2 linked regions of the Anolis sagrei genome follow. The protein of the gene in region 2 interacts with the protein of the main gene of each other region in a pairwise test. Links are inferred from orthologs where the notes say so. Each region holds a gene or a part of one and is shown on either strand. Other genes may lie near its edges.

What was found. The genes of interacting proteins can lie anywhere in the genome.
Region 1: the proteins of WWP1 (region 2) and CPSF6 interact in binary tests that used the Homo sapiens proteins (3 or more experiments, as listed by UniProt). The link is inferred for Anolis sagrei from reciprocal best matches to the Homo sapiens genes WWP1 and CPSF6.

What each region holds. Positions count from the first base shown.
Region 1 is NC_090025.1:143,241,691-143,245,437, forward strand, and holds the start of CPSF6 (cleavage and polyadenylation specificity factor subunit 6), read left to right. Parts: upstream 1-1,367; 5' UTR 1,368-1,421; coding exon 1,422-1,481; intron 1,482-3,747. UniProt on the Homo sapiens protein: Component of the cleavage factor Im (CFIm) complex that functions as an activator of the pre-mRNA 3'-end cleavage and polyadenylation processing required for the maturation of pre-mRNA into functional mRNAs.
Region 2 is NC_090024.1:37,387,764-37,391,510, forward strand, and holds the start of WWP1 (NEDD4-like E3 ubiquitin-protein ligase WWP1), read right to left. Parts: upstream 2,685-3,747; 5' UTR 2,314-2,684; intron 1-2,313. UniProt on the Homo sapiens protein: E3 ubiquitin-protein ligase which accepts ubiquitin from an E2 ubiquitin-conjugating enzyme in the form of a thioester and then directly transfers the ubiquitin to targeted substrates.

The DNA of each region.
Region 1 (3,747 bases), on a different chromosome or scaffold from region 2:
GCATTGCAGTGCACCCAAATACCTGGGAGTCACTCTGGACCGTGCTCTTACCTACAAGAAGCACTGCCTGAACATCAAGCAAAAAGTGGGTGCTAGAAACAATATCATACGGAAGCTGACTGGCACAACCTGGGGATCACAACCAGACACAGTGAAGACATCTGCCCTTGCGCTGTGCTACTCTGCTGTTGAGTATGCATGCCCAGTGTGGAACAGATCTCACCACGCTAAAACAGTGGATGTGGCTCTGAATGAGACATGCCGCATTATCACGGGGTGTCTGCGCCCTACACCACTGGAGAAATTACACTGTTTAGCCGGTATTGCACCACCTGACATCTGCCGGGAAGTAGCAGCCAATAGTGAAAGGACCAAGGCAGAGACATCTCCAGCTCATCCCGTTTGGGTATCAGCCAGCATGTCAACGATTTAAATCAAGAAATAGTTTTCTAAGATCTACAGAGACACCTCAGCAAAGGAGAGTCCAAAAGTGGCAGGCTCAAACCCAGAACCTCAACCAATGGCTGATACCAAATGAGAGACTCCCCTCTGGGCACACAGAAAACTGGGCGACTTGGAAGGCATTGAACAGACTGCGCTCTGGCACTACAAGATGCAGAGCCAACCTCAAGAAATGGGGCCACAAAGTGGAATCCATGACATGCGAGTGCGCAGAAGAGCAAACCACAAACTACCTACTGCAATGCAACCTGAGCCCTGCCACATGCACAATGGAGGACCTTCTTGCAGCAACACCAGAGGAACCCCAAGTGCTCAAAGGACATTTAATCAACTACCAAACTTGCAAATTATGTGTTTTGTCTGTTTGTTTTGTTCTGTTAGAAATGTAATACAATTGACTGGTTGCCCTGACACGACAAATAAATAAACTCTGGCCCAGAGCGGCCACAGGCCTTTAGCTTCCTCTGTCAAAGGCGGCTGGAGCCTTGTCAAAGACAACCCCTAGGTTTCCATCCGTACCATTGAGGCATAGCAGTTACAAGGGTTATCAAACGCCATTCAATCTGCAGTGCACTGAGAGAGAGGGGCGGGTTAGAACCAAAGGCCACCAATGGCGCCCTTTCCTTCCTAACTGCGCGCGCGCTTCCCAACGGAGGGGGGAGGAGGGGGGAGAGATTTGCCTCAAGGGGCGTGGCTACACGCGGGGTTCGATTCAGAGCGAGCTGCGCGAGGGAAAGAAGGAGGGGGCACATAAAGAGCGGAGTACTCCAAGGCCTGCCTTAGCGGAAGCTGCTGTGTTCGCTCCCGGAAGTGACGCGGAGCCCCTCCAAGCGCCCCCCTCCCTCTCGCTCGCTTGCGGCAGCTGTGGTGTCGGGCGAGCGGGCGGGTCTGGCGGCTGCAGGAGCGGCGGCGCAGGGCGGGCGGGGGGAAGGAGGAGGAGGAGGAGGTGGCGGCGGAATATGGCGGACGGCGTGGACCACATAGATATCTACGCCGACGTAGGAGAGGAGTTTAACCAGGTAAGGCGGCTTGGGGCGCTGCTAGGCCGCGCGGGCTCAGGCGGAGCGGAGGCCTCTTTGCCGCCATTGGGCGCCATTCCTGCCGCTGCCTGTGAAGAGGGCCTGAGGGGGAGAGCGCGCGGGAGGGGGCGCGGCCTAGCGTGGAGGGAGGGAGGGAGGCCCTGCGCGGCCTGCCAGGAACAACAATGGGGCCCGGCGCGGCTCGCTCGCTTTCTCTCGGCCCCCTTTCTCTCCTCCTTTGTCGTCGAATCCACTGCCTTGCCTGGCTTGTTGTGGCCCGCTCCCCCGGGGCAAAGGCAGGCAGCAACACAACACCTCTCTCTCTCCAAACGAGGCCTCTCCAGAGGATGGAGGAGCGTTTCTCGGGGCCCCGCCGGGAGTGTGTGAAACGGCTTCCCGTAAAAGGTGGCTGTTTAGGGCAGGGCTGCTTCAATTTTACCCATGCACGACCCCTTTTCTCCCGAGAAATTAAATACGTGACCAAGGTACATAAATAATAAAATCTATAAAAATAAAAATGTAATGTTCGTTCGTAACTCAAAAACCACAGGACGGATTGACACCAAATTTGTACACAATATACTTATCAGGCCAACGAGTGATCATCACCGATAAAACACAGCAAGCTAGACTTAAAAACAAAAAATACATTTCAAGGCATGCACAAAACCACACACACACACATATATACACACACAACACACATAAACACAGACTGGGCCACAGCAACGCGTGGCGGGGATGGCTAGTCTATATAAATAAAAATGTAATGTTCGTTTGTGGGATTGACATAACTCAAAAACCACAGGACAGATTGACACCAAATTTGGACACAATATACTTATCAGGCCAACGAGTGATCATCACCGATAAAACACAGCAAGCTAGACTTAAAAACAAAAAATACATTACAAGGCATGCGCAAAACTAAACACACATATATGCAAGCAGACATATACAAATATGCGCATACATATAAACATATATACACACACAACACACGTAAACACAGACTGGGCCACAGCAACGCGTGGCAGGGGGTGGCTAGTCTATATAAATAAAAATGTAATGTTCATTTGTGGGATTAACAGAACTCAAAAACCACTGGACGAATTGACACCAGATTTGGACACAATACACCTATGAGGCCAACGAGTGACCATTACTCTTAAAACCATTGAGAAACATAGCAGATAAGACTGTAAAAGCCAAAAAAACCCAAAAAATACATTACAGCGCATGCGGAAAACCACGTAGAATCATAGAGTTGGAAGAGATCTCATGGGCCTTCCAGTCCAACCTCCTGCCAAGAAGCAGGAATATTGCATTCAAAGCACCCCTGACAGATGGCCATCTAGCCTCTGTTTATATACACACACATATGCATATATATACACACAAAACACGTACACAGAAAGGAGGAAGGAACGAAGGAAAGAAAGAAAGGTAGAGAAGGAATGAAGGAGAGAAGGAAATAAAAAAGTGAAAGAAGGAAGGAAAGAGAGGGAAGAAAGGACAGAAGGAAGGAACCAGACAAGGAAGGATGGAACCAAAGAGCAAAGGCCGTGAGGAAAGAAACAGGTAGAGAAGGAAGAAAGAAGAAGGGAAGGAGAGAAAGAGGGAGGGAAGATTGGCCACAGCAACATGTAGCGGATACAGCTAGTAAGTATTAAAAATCAAAGATTTTACAGATAAAATCAGCATTCTCAAGGCATGCTAAACGGGCTGATGTTCCTGTTTAGGAAGTACAGCAGAAGCATTTTCTGTAAACATGGCTCGTTATTGCTAACATTTAAGTAAATAAATGGCATTTACACAATATTTTACTGTTGCCTCTTTTTTGTGACTCCAACATTGAGCTAAATCTGTGGTTTTGAATTATGACAATTGTAATGTTGTCTTATGGAGATAACTACCAGCCAATATCCTAGTAATTGTTAAGTGAACACTTACTACAGTAGAGTCTCGCTTATCCAACATAAACAGGCCGGCAGAACGTTGGATAAGCAGAGATATTGGATAATAAGCAGGGATGAAGGAAAAACCTATTAAATGTCAAATTACATTACAATTTTACAAGCACCAAAAAAAATGTTTTTCCAAAAATCAACAGAAAAAGCAGTTCAGTACACAGTAATGTTATGTCATAATTACTGTATTTATGAATTTAGCACCAAAACAGACAAGGATTCTTTATTTCTCCCACCCTGGATATTATTCCGGGCGGGAGGCAGACTGCATTGGATAATACAAAATGTTGGATGAG
Region 2 (3,747 bases):
GGGGCACTCAAAAACTCTGGAGGTGCACGAATTGTGGGAGTTGAAGTCCAAAACATCTGGAGGGCTGAAGTTTGCCCAAGCCTGTTATAAAGGCAATAGGTGTTTACAAACGCCTGTGTGTCATGAGATTTGGGGTTTTTCTTTTTTGGGGGGGGGGCGCTCAAAAACCACACTGTATTATAAAGATTTTAATGGACTGCCTCGGGAAACTCTAGAGGTGCATGAATTGTGTTGAGTTGAAGTCCAAAACACTTGGAGGACTGAAGTTTGCCAAAGCCTGCTATAAAGGCAATAGATGTTTACAAACTCCTATGTGTCATGAAATTTGGGGGGGGGGGGAGTTGGGGGGGGGGCTCAAAAACCACGATGTATTATAAAGATTTTAATGGACTGCCCCGGGAAACTCTGGAGGTTGTATGAATTGCGTTGAGTTGAAGTCCAAAACACTTGGAGGGCCAAAGTTTGCCCATGCCTGTTATAAAGGCAATACGTGTTTACAAACGCCTGTGTGTCATGACATTTGGGGTGTTTTTATTTGGGAGGGGGGGCTCAAAAACCACTATGTATTATAAAGATTTTAATGGACTGCCTCTGGAGGTTGTATGAATTGTGTTGAGTTGAAGTCCAAAACATCTGGAGGGCTGAAGTTTGCCCAAGCCTGTTATAAAGGCAATAGATGTTTACAAACTACTGTGTGTCATGAGATTTGGGGGTTTTCTTTGGGGGGGGGGGTCAAAACCACTATGTATTATAAAGATTTTAATGGGCTGCCTTGGGAAACTCTGGAGGTGCATGAATTGTGGGAGTTGAAGTCCAAAACACTTGGAGGACCGAAGTTTGCCAAAGACTGTTATAAAGGCAATAGGTGTTTACAAACTCCTGTGTGTCATGACATTCAGGGGTTGTTTGTTTTTTTGGGGGGGGGGGCTCAATAGCCACTATGTATTATAAAGATTTTAATGGGCTGCCTCGGGAAGTTCTGGAGGTGCACGAATTGTGGGAGTTGAAGTCCAAAATATCTGGAGGGCTGAAGTTTGTCCATGCTTGTTATAAAGGCAATAGGTGTTTACAAACTCCTGTGTGTCATGGGGTTCGGGGGTCAAACACCACTATGTATTATAATGATTTTAATGGACTGCCTCGGGAAACTCTAGAGGTACATGAACTGTGTTGAGTTGAAGTCCAAAACAACTGGAGGACCGAAGTTTGCTCAAGCCTGTTATAAAGGCAATAGGTGTTTACAAACTTCTGTGTGTCATGAGATTTGGGTTTTTTTCTTGGGGGGGGGGGCTCAAAAACCACTATGTATTATAAAGATTTTAATGGGCTGCCTTGGGAAACTCTGGAGGTGCATGAATTGTAGGAGTTGGAGACCAAAACACCTGGAGGGCCAAAGTCTGCCCATGCCTGTTATAAAGGCAATAGATGTTTACCAACTCCTATGTGTCATGAAATTTGGGGGTGGGCTCAAAAACCACTGTGTATTATAAAGATTTTAATGGACTGCTTCGGGAAACTCTGGAGGTTGTATGAATTGAGTTGAGTTGAAGTCCAAAACACTTGGAGGGCCAAAGTTTGCCCATGTCTGTTATAAAGGCAATACGTGTTTACAAACTCCTGTGTGTCATGAGATTTGGGGGGTGGGGTTGGGAGGGGGGGGCTCAAAAACCACTATGTATTATAAAGATTTTAAGGGACTGCCTCAGGAAACTCTGGAGGTGCATGAACTGTATTGAGTTGAAGTCCAAAACACCTGGAGGGCCGAAGTTTGCCCATGCCTGTATCTACACGGTAAGACTTCCGTTTTACTGCCCTAGCTCAGCGCTATGTAATCCTGGGATTTGTAGTTTTGAGGAGGCAGCAGCACTCAGAGAACTCGAGAGGCCTTGCTTGGAAAACGACAGCTCAAAAGACTCCATAGTGAAGAGTGCATTAATTCTACAGTATAGGAGAGGAACTCAAGGTGACACAGAGCGAGGAAGGGAGCTGGAGGGAGCGAGAGGCACCCCTTGCCCACCAGCTGGGGAAAAGGAGGGCAGGAGGGGCTCCATTTCTACTGGAAAAGGCGGGGGTGCGAAGTTGTAAAGGGACGAGAAGAGCTTCTTTCCTCCCTCTCCCCCCCCCTCCCCAAATGAACGTGACTCCTTCCTCGCTTTCCCCCCCTCCCAGGCAGCAGGCAGCAGGCCCCCTCCGCCTTTCCCTTTCCCTCCTCGGCCAGGCCAAGAGCGAGCCAGCGCAGGCTGTTTATGTGTCTGTCAGGCCCTCCCTCCCTCGCTCCCTCGCTCCCTGCCTCAGCCTCTCTTCCTTCCTTACCGTGGCTCGGAGCCCAGCTGCTTGGTGCCGAGGGTGGCGCTGGGGGTGGTTTTGAGGCTGCCTCCGTCCCTTCAGCCTTCGGCCCCGCTCCTCACCGCCGGCACGACCACGACTACGACTACTGCCGCCGCCCCGGCGCAGACACCAAAGGATGCCATCTCACAGAGGAGGAGGAAGAAGAAGAAGAGGAGGAGGAGGAGGCGGCATTAGAGGGTCTCCTCACAGGGAAGAAGGAGAAGGAAGAGGAGGAGGAGGAAGAGGAGAGCTCGCGCCCCTCGCGGTGGCGCGCATGCGCGTGCACCCCAACCGTCGAGCAAAGAAGGGAGGAGGAGGAGGAGGCGCGAGACAGCCTGAGATGGAAAAGGGAAAGGGGGGGGGGGAGAGAGAGAGGAGAGAGAAGAGCTAGAGGCGGGGCTATGACGGAGAAATGGGAGGAAGCGCATGCGCAGAAGCCTACGCCGGGTACAGGCCAGATGATGGGAAACTTTTGTCAAAAGCGCCCAGCAATTTAGTTCTGGAGTTGGAGAGCAATCCAGGGCTGAACCAATGCTATTAAGGGGGGGTTGGGTAATGGGGTAATGTAGTAGTCAGGACTGAACCAACTGGTAAGAAAAGAAGAGGGGAGGTATATGGAATGAGACTGAAGCATTCAATCTAAATTTGACTTAAATCAAGAAATAGTTTTCTAAGATCTACAGAGACACTCACTGGAACACCTCAGCAAGCAAGAGTCCAAAAGTGGCAGGCTCAAACCCAGAACCTCAATCAATGGCTGATATATGATGTTTTTAATTATTGTTTTGTGATTTTATTGTTGGAAACTGGCCCGAGTCCCCCAATAGAGGGGAGAAGACCGGTATACAAAATTGCTAAATAAAATAATAAATAAATACTAAACAAGAAACTTCCCTGTGGGCACACAGAAAACTGGATGACTTGGAAGGTGCTGAACAGACTGCTCTGGCACCACAAGATGCAGAGCCAATCTTAGGAAATGGGGTTACAAAGTGGAATCCACAACATGCGAGTGTAGAGAAGAGCAAACCACTGACCACCTGCTGCAATGCAACCTGAGCTCTGCTACATGCACAATTGAGGACCTCCTTGCAGCAACACCAGAGGCACTCCAAGTGACCAGATACTGGTCAAAAGACATTTAATGAACTACCAAATTTTGTGTTTTATCTGTTTTTTTTTTTTTTTGGTTTTGTTTTGTTTTGTTCTGTTAGAAATGTAATACAATTGACTGGTTGCCCTGAGACGACAAATAAATAAATAAAATACTGCTCTGGAGTTGGAGAGCGGTGCTATTAAGGGGGGGGGGGGTTGGATAATGGGGTAATGCAGTAGTCAGTCAGGACTGAACCAACTGGAGAGAAAAGAAGAGGGGAGGCAGATGGAATAATAATAATAATAATATATACCCCGCTACCA